Arabidopsis thaliana: one gene and its partners. The protein of the gene in region 1 interacts with the protein of each later gene in a biochemical or structural test. Each region holds a gene or a part of one and is shown on either strand. Other genes may lie near its edges. The genes, in order: HFR1, PIF3 and FHY1.

Region 1 (7,871 bases):
TAGATCGTATTTCAAGTAAAATTAATATTTTGAATATTAAATTTTATGGTTTATGTTTGTTAATACCAAAATTAAGCAGAGAAGAAGAATCCTAAGCCAGGTGGAACAGCTGGTTTTGGGGGCGAGATATAAATGCGACACAAAAGTCAGACAAAAACCACTTGCTGCCTGCTACCCAAAGATTTAAGAGTCCCACTGGATTCTAAAACACACAACATCGATCCACAATACCACAGGCCCACTTTTTCTCTCTCTATATATAAAAGGCAGATAAGAATCACATGAGAAAACAAAATCTACACCAAAACCCTAAATATACAAAGCTTTTTCGAAGTTGATCATCAATGGCGTCAATTGTTCTTCTACTCACACAAATCCTTCACCCTACAATCTCTGAATTCCCTTCTTCTTCCTCCATAATTCTTACACCATCTTCTTCTTCTCCATCTTTCCATTACACGCATCAACAGAAATCTCCAAGACCCGACAGTTTCAAGATCTCACCTCTTCACGAAGATCCGCAAGATTCAAGAGTTATGATCGATTTGTTCTAGACTTAAACTATCTTTCTCCCGCTTTGTGTAATTTTTGCTCTTTTGGCCACAAGTTGTAAAATCACTTATGAGGATATTAATGGGAACCTTCACATACTTATGTCTTGTCAAAGTCTAATCTGCAATCTTAGTATCTAATTGGTTTTCGTTTAATAATTTTCTTACTTGTAAGCGGACCTATAAATGAAATCATTGGCTTGGGTAAGCCCCTTCCACACACCGACCCAATGCGACACCAGCAGCAACATATTTGCCACCAAAGAATATCCATCAATCATGACCAGATGATGAAAGACCACAGCTTCAGCAACTTTATCATCAAGTCACTCATCATTGGGAAAGTCTACAAATCCAACATGATTTAAGAATTAAGATAGTTTAAGTATGCATATTCAATCGACAAGCTTGTATATGGGAATTTTGGCGACAAAACATAAGATCCCAAACGTATCTACTTGAATTTGCACACAACTGGTTTCACAAATCCAAAAACTTAACAGAAAATTGGGGGAAAAAGACTGTTAGCAACATGAGATGGAGCAGTCATCGCTACACTTTTGCTCTGTACAGAGAATATCCCCTCAGAGTTTCATAAGTCGAGTTGTATCCTCTGCTATCCATCTTAGTAATACTTGAGAGCTTCCTTAACTTTGCAAGTTGCAACTCAACCTGCCCAAATAAAAAAAAAGATAATGATTTTTGCACTGTTCTCATTGAAAAGGGTGAAAGAAAACAGATTCATTAGCATATAATACAATACCTTGCAGAGATTGCCTCTGGCAACATTGTGATTCCTTTCCTGAAAGAACCAACTGTTTGGGCCCTTTGGCTTTGACAGAAGCGGCCTCAGTTTCCCATTCCACAACACAAACCTGGGAATGGGAAACAATATCTACCTGAATTACGCACACAACGACAAATGTAAATCCACTAAACCAAAAACAGAGCTTCTACCAAAACTCTTCTAGTAAACTTGCAAACAACGACAAGGCTTAAATCCACTAAACCAAGACAGAGCATTCTACTAAAACTCTTTTAGTGAATTTCAAACCACTAAACTATCAGATACAAGACAATTTGTTCTGTAGATAACTAATTTTTGCTTTCGAAATCATATACATTGGCTCAATTTAACGCTTCATGTAACAAAATCGAATTAAGCGAATTCGATCGAAACCACAATAGGAAAAGGGAAAAAAAAAAACATTTTTCCTCGCGTGTCAAGATACATACTCCGCTGAGGATCAGTCAATCCGCCGTCACGGTAATACCTCCTCCGCCTTCGAGTTTAGAAGATCGACGATTGATCAACCGGAAACAACAGAGATTAGTAGAATCATAAGCAAGTAACCGAGGACGGAGAAGAATTATGAGAGAAATGGCTGCGACACCGCCGGACGGAGAAGAGACATTTGATATTTCCATGGCGATCGCTACGAAAAGAAGAAGTAGAGGCCTGTTCTCAGTTTTGTCTAACATGTTTCACTCCTCATTGATGGGCCCTTAATAAATTCATATTTGGGTTAATAACATTACATGGGCTAACCTAAAAGCCCAGTAAAGATAACGTTCTATTTGGCAAAAAAAGAAGAAGATAGATAGATCATAGATGCTGCATTTAATGTACAACAAAAATAAAAATCGTCAATCAACCACTAGATACACAAATAGTACTTCGTATAGTATATGATTCCAACCAAAACGGTGGGAACAAGAGAAAAATATTAAAATAAGAATCAATAATGCAAAGTTTTTCCATAATATCAAATAGATTGAACAGTGGGAAGTTGTAGATTGGAACGTATATTCCGAGAGGTCGTTGTCGTGAAGGAGATTGGAAACCTATGTAGTGGCTGTGGTTTTGCTTCGTCGCTCGCTAAGACACCAACAAAATATAAAGTACCCAAGTGTCAGACATAGCACCATGTCCATCACGAGGGCATCACGTGAACACGCCTTTTCTTCTTCCTCTCTCTCTCTCTTTTTCGATTTTTTTCAGGCCCATTTGATTCAACGCTACAAAGTTAACATTCATTAGTCAATTGAATAATAATAATTAGTATTTTTGTTCTACTAATTCGAAATTAGAATTTGATACTGTTTTTTTTTTTTTTTGATTGTTGATATTTAGTAACCAGGTCATTTTTGTTTATTCAGAATATGTTGTAATTATTGGAGTTTTTTTTAATTAAGGAAAATAGTGTGGACCTTTTTTATCAAAGATAGTAATAATGTGGACCATCGCACCTGCTCGGTGTATGGTTGATGATGACGTGACTCTAAAATTCCAATAAATGTGTCGTGGGGTTACAGAAAACAAAAAAAACTGATTCGTTATAGGATTGGTTTAGAGCCCACAACCCACGTGGGATTTTGGATAAAACCCTAAATGAATTCTTTTTTCAGGAATCCATAAATGGTCATGAAATGAAATGCATTCTCAGGCTGGAAATAATCGACCATTATATTATTGCACAAAAAAGTGAACTCTAGTATCATAACTCTGAAATTATTATGATTGCTGGTTACTGAATTTTGTAAGCCTTTCATAATAACGAATTTACCAATTGGGAGATCGAATAATCTTATCGTTGTTACAGACGATATTTTTTTGTCGATTATATTATGAAACTTGTGGTAGTCAACCTTTTTTTTTCCAAACGGAGACGTCATCTTTTTGTTTTTATATTTAGAGATGATCTGACCAAAAATAAACAAATAGACATCCGATATTTTACATTGTTTTATATATATATAAAGATAAAGCTTAATGACGAGTATTCAATGATAAACGATAAGATTACGGGAAAAATAATTAAACGGATAAAAATGGCCCTACCCGTTGTGCATTACAGTTCTTGGTTAAGAAATACTATTAAACTGTCTCTCAAATCTCAATATATAAATGAATACATTCTATACGTACAAAGATAAATTTATCTCTATGTTCATGTGTCAAAGTGGTAGTGAATCTAGTGACGTTATTGATTAATCAAGATTACTTTTATCTTTCTGTGCAAAATTTCAAGATTACTCTAAAGTCGATATATGCTACTATGACGTAGTTTTGGGACAATTACGTATAGAATCATAAAAACAATAAGCAGAATAATAATCCATTTAAGTACATTGTGAATTTGTGATAATGGAATTATTTGACAATACTTTTCCAAAATAAAAACTAATTTAATTACTGTATTAATTATTTTAGTAAAACAATATTTTCATTACAATGTTTGTTGTGAATCCAAAAAAGTATTGTTTCCAAAGAACTCAAATGACATCAATATGTCTATAATAACCTCGTGTAGCTGTATGTTAGAATCTAGCCGAATTGTTTTATTGTTGTCGGTGTACGCAACAAACGAACCACACATACTTTGAAACGTGGCACAATATAAGTGGGTCACCAATGTAGCTGACAACTATACCATCTATCTGATCCGATCGCTCTTATAACATAAGCGTATGGGATACCATTTTCTCGGACAAAGCTGAAATCCCTAAAGAAAAAACACTTCTCCAAACTTTTCATCTCCGATATCTCTTTAACTAACATGTAAGTATAATTAAACAGGAGGTTTCAGAGTTTAGGTTTCTTGCCTTGTTATTCTCTTTATTTATTTCTTTAATAATTTATCAATGATTTGTATCGTAAACCCTAATAGTTTACTACTTTTTTCTTGGCAGGTCGAATAATCAAGCTTTCATGGAATTGGGATGGAGAAACGACGTCGGATCACTTGCTGTGAAAGATCAGGGCATGATGTCAGAAAGAGCAAGAAGTGATGAAGATCGTCTAATCAACGGTCTAAAATGGGGCTACGGCTACTTTGATCATGATCAAACTGATAATTATCTTCAGATTGTTCCAGAGATTCATAAAGAAGTAGAAAATGCGAAGGAGGATTTATTGGTTGTTGTCCCTGATGAACATTCTGAAACTGATGATCATCATCATATTAAAGATTTTTCAGAGAGATCAGATCATCGATTTTATCTGAGAAACAAACATGAGAACCCCAAAAAACGTCGTATCCAGGTCTTAAGTAGTGATGTAAGTCGATACATAGATATATTTTCATGTTACCTTATGTATTATCATTTTTCACTGTTTTTAATTTTTTCTTTCTATAAATAAAATTAATTAATTTAGGATGAATCGGAGGAGTTTACAAGAGAAGTTCCTTCAGTTACTCGAAAAGGTTCCAAGAGAAGAAGAAGAGACGAGAAGATGAGTAATAAGATGCGTAAGCTACAGCAACTCGTACCTAATTGTCACAAGGTTGGTGTGTATATAGATCCTTCTATATAATGTTTCAATTTAACTATTGAGTGTCTAGTCTTTTCCGTATAAGTTTCCGCTACTTCCGTTGCATATATGAAGAAATCTTGCCTTAAGTTTCCAATTCTGATAACGGGTGGTGCTTTTTTACGGTTTTCAGACGGACAAGGTTTCGGTTCTCGACAAGACCATAGAGTATATGAAAAACCTTCAACTTCAACTTCAGGTCTATATTTAACTTTATTCACTATTTTTATTTCACACTTTATTCAGTGTTCTTCTTCCATATATTTGAATTATTGAGGCTTGAGGTTTTAAGTGTTTATCTAATAGTCTGAGTTTTTTTTTGGTTAATTTAACTAGTTGACATAAACTGTTCTTGGTATTCGATCTGACTCGCCAACTTATGAGATATGGATTATTGTTTTACAATATGGGTTTCAAATTGATCAAACAAATATAGCCACTTTTTGGTGTTTAGTGACGAAAAAAATGGAATGATATATAGTAGGCAGTAGATAACCTAGATGGTGAAGTCTATAGAATTTCTTTAATATTTCGAATTCATCTCTTTTCATGTGATTATTTAGTGCCAACTAAATGTTTTATATTTTATAGAACTATGTACCCATTTTGATCATTCGAATATGTATATGTGCTATTTATATTCAGAAACTAAGTTGTAATCAAAGTTGATGTTATAATTGCAGATGATGTCAACAGTGGGGGTGAATCCTTATTTTCTTCCGGCGACATTAGGATTTGGAATGCACAACCACATGCTGACGGCAATGGCTTCGGCTCACGGCCTAAATCCGGCGAATCACATGATGCCATCGCCGCTAATTCCGGCGTTAAATTGGCCATTACCACCGTTTACTAATATTTCATTCCCACATTCATCTAGTCAATCTCTATTTCTTACAACATCATCACCAGCTTCTTCTCCTCAGTCTCTTCACGGTTTGGTTCCTTATTTCCCAAGTTTCTTGGATTTTTCTTCCCATGCGATGAGAAGACTATGATAAGTAAGTAGCTCGATAAAAGTTTATGTGAAATGATCGTTGACTAATTAAGAGAGAAAAGAGTTCCAAATTAGGACAGTTTGTGTGAACCATTTGTGTCATATACTTTTTTTTCCGGGTGGTTTTGTATATTAATAATAATCAATAAGTTAAAACTTTTTGTATAAATTCTTGCATGTAACAATTTTTTCATTTATCTGATATTTTGTAAAATATATTGAGACATGCTTATAAGAGCATTGAACGTAGGAACAAGATTTCCCTGATTCTTAAGCGTCTCAAACGTTTACACTTGGTTACATGCATCCCAACTAGCTTTATCTTCAGCATCTCAAATTCAGGACCAGTGGGTCATACACTATGATAATGTTAATGTACAAAAAGTAACATTAACTTACCTCTGCACACTGCATGTTACTTAGAAGTTAGGATGTGGCTCTGCCAAATATAGGGCCGGATGTATGAGAAAAGATCAAAAGAAGAAATGAGGAAACTTGACTTCGAGAATTATTAATCACTTTCTTACACATCAATTATTGATTTGCGTTTTGTGTTTACACATCGCTTTTCCACAGTTGATATATTCATTTTTTTGTGGAAAATTCAAAATGTTTTCTGTTTTAAAGTTGTGACTTGTGAGTAATAATCTCTTTTCTTTTGTTTTCTGAGCTAGGTAAATACACACACAAGAAATATTACGTCCGAAACTCGAGACACAATTCATATTTATATATAAAAAAAGAAAAATTCTACACGCACAGACACAGGCGCACACTTATATACGTATTATTTTACAAATACATATCCTTTTGTCTCAATAAGGCTTGGCTTTAGTGAAAAACAATGTCAGAAAGGCATAGTTTTACCTACTAATTAGCTATGACGTACATTTCTTAGTTTGGTCAAGACAAATAAAATGTTTGGTTTTTTATTTCGCCAAGCAAATGACTTGTCGATCAAACTGGTCTCTGATTCTATAAGTACCAAAAACTTCGAGCTTCTTCTCTCATAGTTAAATAAAATTCATCTTTTCACGGATATATTTAATTTGGAGCCATGATGAATTCAAGAATTTCTATTATCATTGCGTTATCTTGCATTATGATCACTTCAATTCGTGCATACGATCCCGACGCTCTTCAAGATCTCTGCGTTGCCGATAAATCTCACGGTAGAAATTACCTTTGTTCGAAAATTTAATCTATCGTGATGTTATAATAATATCTATGTATCAGGAGGATCATCTCAAACTCTATGAACATCTTATCTAAATTTCAAATCAAAAATAAAATTAATATGTTGAAATTAGAGATATTTTAATATATAGATATTTTGTGGGAATATTACACCATTATTAAATCTATGTTGACTTGATATAAAACCTAAACGGCACGATGTGCGAAACGCAGGAACCAAACTGAATGGATTTCCGTGCAAGGAAACATTAAACATCACGGAGTCCGACTTCTTCTTCGCCGGAATCTCAAAACCCGCCGTCATAAACTCTACGATGGGTTCGGCCGTAACAGGAGCCAACGTGGAAAAGATCCCAGGCCTCAACACTCTCTCCGTCTCCTTAGCACGTATAGACTACGCGCCGGGAGGTTTAAACCCACCGCACACTCACCCACGCGCCACCGAAGTCGTCTACGTTCTAGAAGGAGAGCTTGAGGTTGGATTTATCACAACAGCGAATAAGCTTTTCACTAAAACCATAAAGATTGGTGAAGTTTTCGTTTTTCCAAGAGGGCTTGTGCATTTTCAAAAGAACAATGGGAAATCTCCCGCGTCGGTTTTGTCGGCATTTAATAGTCAGTTGCCGGGAACGGCTTCTGTTGCGGCAACCCTATTTGCGGCAGAGCCGGCTTTGCCGGAAGATGTGTTAACTAAGACTTTTCAAGTGGGATCTAAGATGGTTGATAAGATTAAGGAAAGGCTTGCCACTAAAAAATAATTCATAAAAGTTTAAAAAAAAAATAAAAACATGAAAATATAATGTAACCGTTA
Region 2 (7,871 bases), 2.6 Mb from region 1:
TGCAAAAATGTTTGTGAAGACGCGATTTACCACACAGAACTTAAGTTTACGCTAAAGCTATATAGCCTATATATAGGGGAAACTATTAATAAAAGTCTGCTCGCTGGCTGGCAGGCTGGGTATATAAAACATCTCTAACTATAGAAACAAGCATCTACGAGAAGTTGACAACGTTTTGTGAACATAAAACAAAGTAACAAACTTCCTAAAGAATTGAGGAAGAAATTTTTTACTTTCGACAAAACTCCCAATCGATACAATCATGGACATATATATAGCTTCCAGCATCCGAGAAACAAATCAGGAGCTCACATTTGCCCTCTTCCAAACTATGGTTCTCTAGGCTCTAGCTCAACTCCTCCGATCGTTGACCTAACCCTAACCATCGATTCCCTTTCTTTTTGTTAAAGAAAACGTAACAGTCATGCGTGAGCGAATCACTTACTACGTATAACATAAACTACATATCAAGCTAAGTGATGCGCTCAAACACCGTGTATCATGTAACTTATATACACCCTATAGGTTCCAACAAAAAAAAAAAAAAAAAAAAACTTCCAATAATTTCAATTTTCGCGTGGGTATATATTCAGCTTCACTAGTTCAATAGTCCTGGCCCAAAAAAAGAAAAAAAAGGAAATCGAAAGAAAATGTCATAATTAAGTTATTTAACAAAATGGGCTGAGAAGCCCATCACGCTTGTTTAACCAGGTCCATCTATATAGTGAACCCCACGCTACATTAAAAAGGGAACAAAACCTTTGAAAATATTAAAAACATTTTTTAATTCAAAACAAGAAACAGAACAGAACCCACCAATAAGCACAAAGCTCTTCACTGTTATAACGAACACAAATTAATTTTGTTTAGGATTATAAAATAGATTTGTTTGAATGCTACAAATAAACAATACATCAGTTCATAAGTTTGTATTTATGTCACGACGATCCACAAAACTGATCAGAAGACCCCTGTTTTCTCTTTATTGGTTTCAAGTTACTGTTGTTATTCGTCGTTGTTTGATCTTTAGAACCAGATAAATCTCTAGTCGAGCCATTGCCAATCGTCGAAGAACCGGCAAAGATACCACCACCAGAGACACGTGGAATACCCATCGCCACTGGTTGTTGTTGCATCCCCGAGACTTGGAACTGTGGTCCGTGGTTAACCGATGAACCACCACGGCTCAAATCAGGCAAGCCCATTGCATAAGGCATTCCCATACCCATTGCCATTGCAGCAGCTGCTGCCGGGTAATGCCCCATACCCGGTGGGAACATAACCGCCGGTGGCAGATAGTAACCAGACGCCATTGACATGATCTGTTGGCGATTATTGTGTTTAGATTATTAGTTTGCACGATTTTTATCGACTCTAGAGAGTAATGAGAGTGTTACCTGCACTTGAAGTTGGAGTGACTTGAGATACTCGATGGCTTCATCTAGCATCGAAGCTTTGTCCACCTTTAAACCATATAAATGTTACAAAAGCTGATTAAATACGAAAATTCTCGGCTTGAACAATCTTGCTTACAATATGGTTTCAATTGTTTTTCCGGTTTAATAAATACGGAAACCAATCAAAAACCTTTAGCAATTCGTTCTAAGATGCAAGTTTTAGTTTATTTGGCATTGCTCCTTATCTTTCAAACAAAAATGAATCATGAATGGTATTTGTAAAGGAGAAGAAGCTGACCTTGTTACAGTTTGGAATGAGTTCTTGCAGGGCACGCATCTTCTCGTTGATCCTATCACGCCGTCTCTGAAAATTGAGGACAGTAAGTTACCAAATATAGCAATCTTTTGTGAGTTTGAGAATGGACAAAAACCCTTTAGGGGCTTCACTCACTCACCCTTTCAGACAGATTATGCACTTCTGCAGAGCGGCTTCTCTTTGAACCCAAACCCGTTCGAGATGGACCTGCTTCCTTTCTTCCATCTCCTGATTCTTCTTCCACATCCTGCTCAACAATATTCAATAAAAAAACTGAAGAAAACAACAAAGAAACGAAATTGTAATGTGCATAAAATGACATGAGTTTAACTCACTTCACTATGACAGTCAATGTCTTGAATATTCGAATGCTTTCTCTTTAAAGAAAGTGAAGGACTTTCGGATGGGCCATCGAGACTATTACCCGAGCCAACAGAAGAACATACAACTGCTTTTTCACTCTCTTGGTCTTTTCTACATGAGTCCTCTGATATTAGGCAAGCCTTTTGGTTATCTTTAGGCGTAGCAGAAGCAACAGACTCGTTAAGAACCTTATCTTCAGAGTCTTTAGCTCCAAGAACTCTGGTCTGAAACACATTTGGCGGGCTTTGAGGACTCTTTTCTTTAGTGTCATGAAGGTTATTATTAGTAGTCTTCGCAAAAGTTGCAGGGCGTAAGAAATGTGAAAAGTTGACCAAACTAGGCTTGTTACTAGTAATTAGTGGTTCCTGCGTCTGAGTAAACCGATCCGGATTGGTTTGTTGGCTAGGAAGATCTCTAGCTCTATCACTTCCATACAGAGAATGCGATTGGAAACCGTTATACTGCGACGAAGAAGCAGCAGGAGCTGATTCATTGCCATCCTTTCTTCTCTGAAACAACGGGAAAGCAGTTTGGTTTACCGCCATATCACTCTCTTGCTCGTTGACAGTAACAGGAGACGACACATCACGCAAGAAATCAGAGCAATATCCATCAAGGGAGGGATGATGATTCAACCATGGAACAAAGTCATCGTCTTGACTCAAACCCGTCATTAGTGATGGCACTGACATAGGGATCTCGTCCACCATAGTCGTCTTTGAGCCATTTCCAATCTCTCTAGCTCTAGAAGAGTTTGCTTGTGGTGGAGGAATGTTCCTCGATCTACTTGACTGACTTTGAGTTGATATCTGACCATTTTCCCACACCAGCTCCACAACTTCATCTACAGGTCTGTTATTTTTCACACACAACAAAAAAACACATGAATTTGATGAACTTGAAACAAGGCAGACTTAAAGAGAGACAAGTGAATGGGACTCACGGAGAAGGGTTCCTGTCTTGAGCAGATTCAAGCTTAGCTTTGGTGAGCCTGAAAAGCTCAAACAGAGGCATGGTGTTGCGTTTTACAGAAACAATCTTTTACGAAGTCTTGATCCTAAAAAGGTGAATTCATAAAATAGACGAATTAGGCCAAGAAAAACTTGCCAGAAACAAAAATTGTACACTTTGTAATGCTTAAATTAGAAAACTTTTCAGTTCCCAAATTAGAAACTGGGAAATAAAGAAATAGAAAAGAAATCAATGTCTCAATCATCAATATGCAATATAAAAAAAGCAGAGATTTTCACTTAGTTTAATGGCAACATGATTAGTCAAATCAAAACCAATTGTTTAATCACACTGAAGAACGATTCAAAACAGCGCACTCAAGACCTAATTAACCATCTCTTAAGAAAACCAAAACAAAAAGATCAAAACTTTGATCTTCTTGTCTGAATAAAGCTATCATCGTAGCTGACCTGAGAAAAAGGGTACTGAAGCAATCGAAGTCAGCGAAGAGAGAAAGAGAGAGTGAGAACCTCAAAGTATTAAAGTGGCATCAATCCAAATGCAGAGAACAGAGGAGAAAAAGTCGGCGAATTGGAGTAGTCCTGAGAAAGTAGGCGGAGAGAGAAGGAGATGGAGACAAATCGACGCACAAGACGGACGCAGAGAGAGAAGAGAGGGGACCAAATCGTCTGTAACTGAGGATTTTGATTTTTTGTTTTCACAGTCTCTGAGACTCCGTTTCTCTCGAACATTCAACCTTTTAGCGTCGCCCGAATCATTAGCTCTACTCTTTACCTTTCTCTCTATTTTTCTTTTCTCCCTATATTTATAAACACATAATTAAAGAGAAATTGCTTCATATAATCAAATATTAATTATGTCAATGATTATATATAGTGGATTATATATGTTGCACTAAACATTGCAACAATTTGTTAAAACACACACCAAATACAATTCTACCATGTTTGTTTGTTTTTTTTTGCAAATAAAATGATGAATTTTTGCATACAAATAGTCGATCGTATGATTACTTTGATAAAAATTAAAGACAATGATAATTGCGTATGTATTGTTTTATCAAATAGTGTTCATTCTCTTATTTTAATAGATGGTCAATTCTCTAATATACTAACAAATCAGAAATACTATCTATAGAACCATCTCACTGAGATCTTTGTGATTAAACAAAGTATTGATTACTTTTTTGGGCATGTTGTAGGTATCGAGACAAGTTTAATAATTATCGTAAACAAGTACTAGTTGTTGTATTAGTAGTGGTTTTAGGCTATTAGTAGAAATAATTAATGTTTAATTAGATGTACTATATATAAATAAATTACGGTATTATACAATCCTTCAATTGATATGGTAACTGCTTTCATAAGATATTGTTATTAAACGAGAAAATTAAAGCAAAAGGGACCTAGAGAAGAGAGTTGGAGCATGGTGACCAAATTGCTTCTCACCGACCTCTGCACACTTCGTCTGTCTCTGTTACATGATACAGGTCCTTCGCATTATTACAATTAATTCATGGTGTGTCTATGAATAATTTAATACACTTACAAATATGAAAATAATCATATACTAGAATATGTTATCTTATCTTAAAGTGACATGGGCCTGTGATACACTAAAGTTGTGTGTGAAGAGATGTGTTATCATAAAGGAACACTGCCAAAAAAGCATCACACTCCAAGTGGGGTTGAGCAACCTTGTCTCTCTTTATCTATCTTAATTATTAAAGGTTTGACTTCTCTAATCATTACTATTTTTCTTAAGTCTTTTTTAGTCTTTACGATACTAAATTACTAATCATCCTCAAATTTGGGGACTCACTCAGCAAGTTCTATTAACTGATGAAAACCAATCATTTGCGCTATAATAATTGAGATTTTTTTTAATCATGGGATATAGTATGTGGTATAGTGGTTCCAAACTCTTAGATTAGAGCATATTATCTTTAAATCTAATTTGTTCCTTTCTATAAGTAAAAAATAAATAAAACCATCTAGAATATCAGTCGAGTTTGTTCACGAACGTTGCATCTTCTGGTTTATCTCTCGTTATAGCTCGGTTGATGATGAAATGTCAATTAAATCGCCATGCAAATTAGATTCTAAAATACGTAACAACCCATTGTATACTATAAACTTTCCAAGTGGATAATTTGAGTACATTTGCATGGACCATTATTGATTTCATCACTGTATTTTATGGCCATCTCTTGTTCAGAAAATAATTATAAACAAATTTATTATAAAATCAAACCGAGTAAATAAATAAGTAGATATATATATCAAAGAAAGAAGAAAACTCGGAATGGAAGTGATCCTACTATATTATTTGGGAAGTACATTTGAAATATAATCTTCTTTTTTGTAAGTAATTATATAGGTATGCCATTAGAAATAAAATTTTAAAGAGTAAATTAATTCATTTCTTTAAAAATTAAAGAGTCAAATACTAATTTAATTAATTAAATTTAACTCAAAAACGAAATACATTATTAATTTCCAGAAAAGTAACCAATTAAAATCAACAAATTAGATTTGATATCTAAATTATCATATTAATTTTTAAAATGTAACCTTATTTTTTGTAAGTAATTACATACGTATGCCATTAGAAATAAAATTTTAAAGAGTAAATTAATTCATTTCTTTAAAAATTAAAAAGTCAAATACTAATTTAATTAATTAAATTTAACTCAAAAACGAAATACATTATTAATTTCCAAAAAAGTAACCAATTAAAATCAACAAATTAGATTTGATATCAATATTATCATATTAATTTTTTATTAATTATTATAATTCACCTCTCATCTTTATATGATTCTATTTTTGCGAAAAAATAATATCATCGTTATAAAAAAATAATTAGAGTTTTTTCGCATATGCCACAATTTGAATTTTTAAAAACGAATATAAATTGTTCAGTACATGAAAAAAATACTATAACGGGTCAAAAGTAGATTTAAGAAAAAAAATTACTGAGTACTGTGTCATAATTTGAATATTTATATTCAATTTCATACATATTATTTTAAAATTTATAATCTTATATACTACAATAATTAATAACATATTAGATTTTTTAATGTGTATGATGTGATTCAATTTTTAATACAAGCTGAAAAATCCTACAATTGACGGGTTTAAATCAATATTAATACAAGATGGTATACTACATGTGAAACTCTAAAATTAACAATCAAAATACAAGTATATAATTTTAAACACTAAACAATATAAATAATATCAACAAAACATATACAACTCGTAGTTTCTATACATTTAAAATCAAATAAAATAATATCATATATTTATAATCAATTTTACAATAAAAGTTTTTAGTTTAACTAAAATATAAGCCTATCTGCTGTATAATGCAAGTTAAAATTATAAATAAGCAGATTACCATCACGATGGATGTACCTTCTCACATACACACCTATCAAAAACTTAAAACCTTTCAAAACCTCTTGGTATATTCAAATTAGGATTCTTCATTCATGGAATCATTATTCCAAAGATTTTGGGATGTCTTATGAAATGATTTTGGCAGAAGAGGATGTAAATTTTTTTGAATAAAAAGTACTCACCAAAACATATGTTTATTGGGATTTTTTAGATAATTAAATCAGAGAATAGGGCTGGACATATGAGTAACCCATTCGAGTTCATGTAGAACCCGTTCGGGTTTGGGATTAATGGGTATATGATTTACTATTTAATAGAATAATTCTAAATATTCGGTTCGGGTCGCGTCCAGTTGGGTTTAGGTCAGTTTGGATAAAAAGTTTCAGGCCCTAAAAGTACTCAAAAAATAGAAACGGATATTTTGTATGTAAATAGTGCGTCTCCAAACAAAAAAAACTTTTAAATTTATTAAGTTTTAATAAATTTAATTTAATTTAAATATATTTTACTAAAGTTTGACAAATATAACAAATAATTTTAACAAACATAGCAAACATAACAAAGTATACAATTTAATTTATATAAAATATTAATGTCCGTGCTATATACGGGTTATGATCTAGTTGCTATATGTTAGGCCAAAACTCAAATAAAATGACAAGACCCTGTCCCCGCACAATTCTCTCAATCCGCCGTGGAATAGGCCAACAACAGGTTTTTGATCACTTACTCTACATTCTCTACAAAAATAAAAGATCTGATCTTTAGCTAGCCGACCACGTGCCAGAAGTTTATACTGGCATTAATCTTTTACCTCATTATCATGAACAACTTAGGAAAGAGAACCCTAGCTCATTTTTTTTCTTTCTTTTCTTAGAACTGGCCCTTCCACAATTTAAAAGGTCAGATACATTTGCTATATATATTATCAAAACGTCACTTTACGTCAACACAAAAGCAAATTTGTTGGAGAAGATGATCATGATCAGCAGGTAAATTATTCTCGACGATGGTGATAGATGATGAGTCGATACACGTGGTGATTTTTGAGGGCACAAGAGATGTGACACATGTGACATATGCTATTACAATCTGGCATATTCTATATGAACAATATAGAAGAAAATAATGCGTTTCCTTTTGGTGCAAAATGCTTTTGTTTGTCTTTTCCTTAATTTGGTGCAAAATGTTGACCAGAAACAATATATCGAACAAGAATCGGTATGTATGTAATGTATATACGTATATTATGCAAAATACAATGAACTTCTACACGTTGACACGCTTTGCCGTGTCCCTATCCTCATAATCAAACACGTCCCCACTTCCTTGGATAGTCCAAAAAAACTAATCAATCTCAACTATAAACCAAACCCAATTCAGATTTTTGTCAATTTAAAATTGAATCAGAGACAA
Region 3 (7,871 bases), on another chromosome or scaffold:
ACAAACCGCAGGTGTTTGTCTGATCGGAGTTTGGTACTGACAAATCCTTGTCCTTGTAGGACAAATAGTAGAATACGTTCTTGTAAGACGCTGCTTTGAGATTTTCCCTAAAATCTCTTCTTTTCTTCGTTTCTCAATCAAGAACCTCTCAATATCTGATTCCGATCTTGACCTCGCAAGCATAACCGGAACATGATCATGATCTTGTTCATCAACCTCATGATTCATCTTCTTCTTCATCTTCTTTTCTTCACCGTTACTAACAACAGGCGCATTAGAAACAACGCGACGAATGGAAACAGCACTAACCATATCTTTATTACTAGCAAGTCCCATCCCATGGAGAAGACGACGACGACGCTCAGATATAGATCCCGGAGCAGCCATCCAAATATCGTAATCAGGAGACATCGCCGGCGTACGAAATTTCCTAGAGGCGGTGGTTAAGGAAGAGACGGCTGAAGAAAACGAGAGTCGACAATCGTCGAAATCTTCATCTTCATCGGAAGAAGAAGCATTAGCCATGTCGAAAGTTAAAGCAGAAGAGAGACGATCATGAGTTTCGAAGAATCTATCATCATCTTCATCTTCAAAATCTCCTAATCCTTCCCAGTTCATCGTCATTGTCTTCTTCCGATCCAATTTGTTTCCATCTTCCATCATCTACCAACTAGCTCCACCGAATTTGAAAATGGTGATTGAAATCTGAAATCAGAAAATTTGGCCGATCATTGATGATTCAGAGGCACCGTTATGGAATGATGGGCAAATCGGGAATTATGGAGGAAAGTGTTGAAGACGTGTTTTGTCTTTTTGTAAGACACATCGATCTCTTCACGTTCAATTTCATTACCATAAGTCCATAACTAATAAAAATGTTTGATGATGTTAATTAAGATCTTAAGTCAAAACCAAAGGTCGTGGAAGCATGTTTTGCTTTCGTTATAATTCAAACCTTAATTTACGTTTTGTTCGACTATTAGTGTGAACAAAATCATATACTATGTTCGACTTTACGTGTTAAAGATACTTACATAAAATTACTAAGGATAACTATTTTTAAAGTTTGGTGTTAATTTCTTTTTAATCAACAATTTTTTGTTTTTGTTTTTTTTTGCTATTTTTATAGCGAATTTAAAACTACTAGACATTGACCAAGAAGACTGATAATGCGAGGGAACCACATTCTAGCAAATCTTGAGTCTTGACCATCATGCCAAAATGTTTTACTAGGAAGAATATCAATAAGCTATCATCTTTTTCTTTATTAAATCAGTTTAGATTTTACATTAGAAAGGAACAAGTTGAATATTAACAAGACTTTTGACCATAATAAGAAAAAGTTATGAATTTTTGTATTATGTTCAGAAGAGAGTGTATTGGAGATAATTTGGAGAGAGCAGATTGAATATAGGTGACCAACCAAAAAAAGAAGAAGATATCATCTGAACAAACTTATTAAAGAACATTGACTCTCATTTCTCAGTTAAGTTGGTACTGAAATACATCAGGGATACTCTTGAACACAAGATTGGTTCATATGAAGGATCAGAGTGTCATAATCATCTCAGAATTTTTTTATACTAACTTTTATTTCTGATCCAGGCAGAACAAGATATATAAGCAAGATTAGTTTTGCAAGCTAATAAAAATCTTAAAAGTTGAAGACTAGAGTTGCAAACATTTCAAAGAAGCTCTCTAATCACTTTGAATTGAACGTTTTTTTAAGGTTGACAAGAATCAAAACAGAACGAGTACAGTTCTATGTACATACATCTCTTCATATATGTTTTGAGTCTCAACATCATTTTGTTACAGCATTAGCGTTGAGAAGTATTGTTCAAATTCTTGATCAATGGTAGGCTTCTTTGTCTCATGTAGAGTAGAATCATCTGTACACATGAAACCAAGTTAGTGAATCCCCGGTTCATTGAATCAATACGGTCAAACCAAAATCCGGTTTTCTTTACCTTGGTTAACAGTCCATCTTCCAGAGGACAGAACAAACTTAGCAGCATTACTACTACATCCTTTAGCATCTTCCTCTTCTTCTTCTTGTTCATCGAGATAGAGAATGTTTTCAATGACTTTCTCTGAAAAATCCTCTAAGTTCTGAGTCCCATAGATGTAATCTAGATGGCTTTCGAAAGAGATCATCTTGTCTTCACCGCATGATCCAGATGATTCCTCTTTCATCTCTATATCATTGTTACACTCCATAGAAGTTGTTGAGTTCACATAAGAAGACATTGAATACTCTGTATCAATCTCCGAGTTACCATTTGTATTCTCTGAACAAGCAACATTGGCAAAACAAGTGTGTTTTGACAGAGGTAATAACGATAACTCATCAGATTGATCTGTCTGAAATTTCCTCTTCTTGCTCACCTCAACTTCTTCCATTTTCAACACATTTTTACTACTACTTATGATCATGTGATGGAAACTGCAAAAAAAAAGAACAACACATATTAAGATAGTGGATGGATCTTAATCACCAAATATATGAAATTGACTTTATTAATCTTGAACTTAATAAGGGTTTAGGAAAGAATAACAGGAAAACTTTCTTAATCTCAACGATTAAATAAGCTAAAATCAAGATAAAACTTCAATCATCCTCTGCAGCTATGATTTTTGGTCAACCATTGACATGAATACATACATAATCAGTCAATCCTCTGTATCTTAAAGAAACTGAGAAGAAGCATAATAAGAAATTTGATCTCTAATGATAATATATAGGAATAGATTGAGAAACTGAAACCTGTTAATCTCAGATGGCTTCTCGTTGTTGTTATCCACTTCCACTTCAGGCATAGATCGCAGAGAGAGAGAGAGAGATAGAGAGAGTTCAAAGATAATTGTTTTTCTTATTACTCTTTTAAAAAATGCTCTTTCCACTTTCAGAGGGTCTGAAAATCTGGAAACTGCGTAACTTAAAATACATAAATTAAGCATCAAGTGTACGACGCGCTACGTTGGAGCGTGTATTACACGAAACATTTGAATCCGTTGATCTCGTCGACATGGTGTTTGATTTGGCGCGTGAAAAGAGTCTACGTGTTGGCGAGGTGACCCATCTTCTTACACGGGACCGTTTTTTATTTTTATCTTTCGCTCCATACGATTTTGCAATCTTTTTTACTATTGTCCCATAACGATTTTATGGGCTTTTGGATGAGGATGTATAAATATTTATCAATTTTTCCCTTACATAGGTATAAATATTCATTATCTTACAAAGATAATAGTTTATAAATTTTATATCATTATTTAAAGAAAATAATATGATGTAGAACTGTCTTTTTAAATTTCTATTAAAAACTTAATTTTAGAAGAATTTGGATTTTTTTTACAAAAATTTTTAGAAAAACTTCTCAACTATTTGGTAATTATTTTTTTGGACAATTTGTTCTTTTTCCAGATAAACTATTAGCTTGGTACCATAATGACAAAATAGTATTTTTAGTTCTTTACTTGGTCTGGTCTACTAGCTAAGCAAAAAAATATCTTACTAATAATTTATAATAATTGACACGTCATAATGTACTGGATCACGTGCATCGCATGTTTAGACGAGAGTATCATATGGCGCTGTCTGATGATTTTGGTAGCATTCATCATTGCAACTCGTAAGAAGAAAAGCTGAAACCAGATCTTCCTTCGTTAACTGTTTTCAGCTCCAGCTTCTGAAACGGACTGTCCAGAAACAAAATATCATCAGGTTTTATCTCAAACAACAACAGATTATATAGTTTGTATCTTGGACTAACCTGCTGTTTGGATCATAATAGAAACCGCTGATGGAACCATCGCTGCAGGAGAAGCATACGTAGTAAAATCCAGCTATTGTTAGTCCACAATCTGTGCCAACGTTTACAAAGTATTGCTCTTTCCATCTCTGCACCACCACAAAAATAAACCCGAGTTGCAGGAATTATGGAATACTTGAGAGAAAATGATGATTGGATTCGATAGGAAAAACTGAGAGTTATACCATAAATATATAAGGATAATTGTTAAGATCCAATTGCCTGCCACCATCAGATTCAACTTGTCCCTGCAGTATTAAGTCCAGAACGTTGCTTAGGAGATGTTACTGACTATACAAACAATGTTACTCGAGTGTTACCTGAAGAGGCGAAAAAGACGGGAACTTTGACCAATGTCTCATATCATCTTCCCTCCTGTGACAAACAAACTTTCAAAAATTTATTCACGATAAGAAATCATCAGTTTCAAATCTACAAGAATATAGGAATTGGGACATACGTTGCTTCCCATTTTCCGGTGTAAAAGGTATAATTCTTTCCATCAACGATTTCCCCTTCCCAGAATGTTATGACCTGACACTCACAGAATCAAGAATCGTGTCCCCTATTAGAAATTCAAGGGGAAGCAATATGAAGAAAAAATGAGTAAGAGTGTAAGGGCTTACAGGAGTGTCTGCCATGGGAACGTTTAGAGCTTCCATGGTGCCACAAAGATAACCATGTTCAAGGTCAATACCCTGTATCTGGACGTTGACTCTCCAAGCTTCCTCCTTCTGTTGATTAGAGACATTTTGCGTACCAGAAAATGCCTGCAGCACAGCATAAAAACATGTGTGTTCCTCATCTTTAGGTTCATTATGAATAAACAATCTCTTTGAGCCAATGAATGTTATACAATCCCAACTAGATACAAATGCACTTGAATTAAGCATACATGTCAACATGAAAAAGATATGAAGCCAATCAAAGCAGACAAGGCCAACTTCTAATTGGTATAACAAAAATCAGCATTACTAGAGAATCGTTATGCAACCAGAACACTTGAACAAGTTGCAGATCTAATGGGAAGAAAGTAACTAGACCCATGATGTTTGTTGCCTGCCTATGAATGATGCTTTGTGCCTGAACAACGAGACACGAGATCTTTAAGTTCTTTTATGCTAACCTAAGTAGCTAAACATCATGGAAACTTATAACTTTCCTTCTCATCTTACCATAGCCTCTCTCTCACAAATTTCACATAAAGTATACTAGCAAACCCTTGTGAAGCAAAGTTTCTTCTATAACTACCACAGCCAATCGACAGAATCAACAATAAAAAAATTAGCTATTCTTGTGATTTCAAGTATTCATAAGTAAGAACTTGTCAAGTTTGAGAGAAAATTCACCTTTACACATAAAAACCCCTAAGATAATGTCTTTATAGGTATACTCAGATTCTGCTTACACATAAGGTTATGTTCATAAAAAGAGTGTGCATACATAACCACAGATGCACAAGCATAACTAATAAAGTTCTTTCTAGTCCTAACCAATATTCCCAAGACCTCTATGGTCAGACACTTGAGAGAAAAACTTGTAAAAATCCAAGTATCATACGAATCCTAGAAATAAATTTCTGCAAAATAACATGTTTTGTTAATTCATTAATCGTTGTACCTGGCCAGCGCCGAGAAGTGAACTAGGGGGAAGTGGTGATCGATTCCCAGGATCAGTTCCTAAATGGCAACAAATCTCAACAAATGAGCGAGAGAGCCACAAAGAGGGAACATAAACAAACAAACCTAAATTCAAAACTTGAAGAAGCGATCAAAAACCTGAAACTTGAGCAGGCGTGTTGCTCTCAACAACTCTCACCGGCATTTTCTTCCGTCTCCTCCTTTCCGTCTGATAAAAATCCGATCTTTGGTGCGACCAAATCAAATCGTGGAGCCTAATCAAAAACCACATCTCATCATACCCGGTTCGGTTTTCTTAACCGAATCAAATTATACATAAAACGGATTAGGCTTCTCCGGTTTTCGACTGCGTTTTGTATAAAACCTCTCAAAAACCTTTTCTTCTCTCCCCGTCAGACCGATCTTCTCTCTCCTCGCCGCCGCCTCCAAATCCGGAAGAAGCTTTTTTCCACCTCTATTATCGAACTTGCTTTATAAAAATCTAACCTTTGGACCTGACTTTCCGACTTCTCTCTCTGTCTAGCTGCTTCTCTCACCCAGGTTTGCCTTCCTCTCAAGTTGAAGCTGCGGCTTTATTAGTTTAGCTATTGACTCTAAGAATGTTACTTGAATCCATTCACATGAGCTTCTTACGTCGTTTTCATTGGTTTAGCTATTGACGTTGACTTGGGTTTTGCTTGAGTTCATTCTCTATTGTGGTCTACCATACTTTTTCATGTTACTTGATTGCATATTTATAAAACGGTGCTAAAAGTATTCCGTTTTGTATAGCATTCTAGATGTTGCTTTTGAAACAAAGCTCAGCTGCTGTTCTTGTCGTTGGAAATACAACTCCAGTCCTTCACACTTCTCGCTCCACCTACAGAGTTGGACCTTTTCCAGTGACCAGAACGCAGTCGTTCCAGAGTTTGACTATGGCAAATTTGCAGAAGCTTCCCACTTCTTCGTCTGGGAAATTGAATACGGCTTCAGCTGTGCCCTGTAGCTCTCACGATGCTTCTCCTATCAGGTACCTATGTCCCCTGTATTGAGTATAATGGTGTCAACCATTCTTCTTAAGTATTTTCTCGATTCTTATTATTTTCTTGGCTATTGTGGTGTGTTAAAAGATAAACGAGATTGGATCAATTAAGCTGAAAGGTGAAAGTCGTTGTATTTAAACCACATATCAATTAAGCCTGCATATATTAATCTGTGAAAATGAAGAAAAATTTCTCTTTTCTTGTAAGTTTCATGGACATGAGAAGTTGCATAGCTGTTGTGGTTAAGATTGCATCACACCAATTGCAATGACGAATAAAATATAGAAACTAGCTGTGCTTCCCTGCTCGTTTCTCTGTTACTAGACACAAAGATTTGAAAATAGTAAGACTGGGGAAGGAATTTCTAATGTTATTTATCTTTCCTCTTTGCAAGTGAGAATCGCGAGAATAAACATGTCCATGGAGTTTCTGAGAAAATTGTGGGAGTTCTTGGGGGTGGACAATTGGGTCGTATGCTTTGCCAAGCTGCTTCTCAGTTGGCTATCAAAGTGATGATTTTAGATCCTTCTAAAAATTGTTCAGCAAGTGCATTGTCCTACGGTCACATGGTTGATAGCTTTGACGACAGTGCTACAGTAGAAGAATTTGCAAAAAGGTCTCTTCTTTTGTTTGTTTCTTGAATGCTTCAGGTTCTCAATTCTTATTTTCATTACAATATTTATGGTTATTTTTGTTTATTGTCGTAGTTAGATGTGGAGTCTTAACTGTAGAAATTGAACATGTTGACGTGGACACACTAGAGAAGCTTGAGAAACAAGGAGTGGATTGCCAACCCAAAGCTTCTACTATTAGGATAATACAGGTTTCATAACCTCTCAAATATTTCATCAAATGGAGTTATGTATAGTCAAAGTTTTTCAGCAATTTTATTTATATGTGGCAGTTTGATGTTCCAGGATAAATACATGCAAAAGGTTCATTTCTCTCAGCATGGCATCCCACTTCCAGAATTTATGGAGGTTAGGCCCTTGTTTATACTTTGTTGAAAGAATCACTCATTAAGTTCTCCATGAATCATGAGGAGTTTGTTAATTGTTTTTACCCCTAAACCTCACCACATCAGATAAGCGATATTGAAGGAGCAAGAAAAGCAGGTGAACTTTTCGGTTACCCTCTTATGATCAAGAGCAAACGATTGGCTTATGATGGACGTGGAAATGCAGTTGCCAACAACCAAGATGAGCTTTCTTCTGCTGTAACGGGTAAACCCTTAACTAACCATATTTAATTTGGTTTCATAGTTTCTAGTAACAGTTAAACCAGTTAATCGTGTACAATGCCACAGTCAACGAGAAAACAAAAAATTGTGAGTTACATGAACCAGAATGCTCATGTGAAACTAGCAATAGTGTTCTGAGACAATCCTTGACATT

The links.
Region 2: the proteins of HFR1 (region 1) and PIF3 form a complex in vitro, tested with the Arabidopsis thaliana proteins (one study listed by BioGRID).
Region 3: the proteins of HFR1 (region 1) and FHY1 form a complex in vitro, tested with the Arabidopsis thaliana proteins (2 studies listed by BioGRID).

Annotation. Positions count from the first base shown.
Region 1 is NC_003070.9:463,926-471,796, reverse strand, and holds HFR1 (basic helix-loop-helix (bHLH) DNA-binding superfamily protein), read left to right. Parts: upstream 1-3,916; 5' UTR 3,917-4,111; coding exon 4,112-4,113; exon of another isoform or gene 4,114-4,244; coding exon 4,245-4,611; intron 4,612-4,710; coding exon 4,711-4,839; intron 4,840-4,999; coding exon 5,000-5,065; intron 5,066-5,549; coding exon 5,550-5,864; 3' UTR 5,865-6,181; downstream 6,182-7,871. Other genes in the region: AT1G02350 (protoporphyrinogen oxidase-like protein), read right to left, coding at 1,104-1,223, 1,315-1,426, 1,509-1,545, 1,826-1,979; GL22 (germin-like protein subfamily 2 member 2 precursor), read left to right, coding at 6,921-7,035, 7,274-7,818. UniProt on the Arabidopsis thaliana protein: Atypical bHLH transcription factor that regulates photomorphogenesis through modulation of phytochrome (e.g. PHYA) and cryptochrome signalings. Suppresses the transcriptional regulation activity of PIF4 by forming non-DNA-binding heterodimer.
Region 2 is NC_003070.9:3,072,435-3,080,305, reverse strand, and holds PIF3 (phytochrome interacting factor 3), read right to left. Parts: upstream 4,539-7,871; 5' UTR 4,454-4,538; intron 3,906-4,453; exon of another isoform or gene 3,848-3,905; 5' UTR 3,091-3,847; coding exon 3,020-3,090; intron 2,929-3,019; coding exon 2,049-2,928; intron 1,961-2,048; coding exon 1,853-1,960; intron 1,762-1,852; coding exon 1,696-1,761; intron 1,464-1,695; coding exon 1,398-1,463; intron 1,323-1,397; coding exon 939-1,322; 3' UTR 652-938; downstream 1-651.
Region 3 is NC_003071.7:15,799,877-15,807,747, forward strand, and holds FHY1 (far-red elongated hypocotyl 1), read right to left. Parts: upstream 2,918-7,871; 5' UTR 2,821-2,917; coding exon 2,768-2,820; intron 2,447-2,767; coding exon 1,971-2,446; coding exon of another isoform or gene 1,945-1,970; exon of another isoform or gene 1,893-1,944; coding exon 1,813-1,892; 3' UTR 1,542-1,812; downstream 1-1,541. Other genes in the region: AT2G37670 (Transducin/WD40 repeat-like superfamily protein), read right to left, coding at 1-663; AT2G37680 (glucose-induced degradation-like protein), read right to left, coding at 3,624-3,702, 3,777-3,904, 4,001-4,063, 4,136-4,190, 4,276-4,349, 4,442-4,585, 5,436-5,494, 5,594-5,726; AT2G37690 (phosphoribosylaminoimidazole carboxylase, putative / AIR carboxylase), read left to right, coding at 6,235-6,464, 6,872-7,093, 7,189-7,300, 7,395-7,457, 7,562-7,700. UniProt on the Arabidopsis thaliana protein: Key regulator of far red / red (FR/R) spectrum-specific responses essential for the adaption to changing light conditions (e.g. de-etiolation), essentially by regulating PHYA shuttling from the cytoplasm to the nucleus and by directly regulating the expression of some target genes, depending on light conditions and phosphorylation status.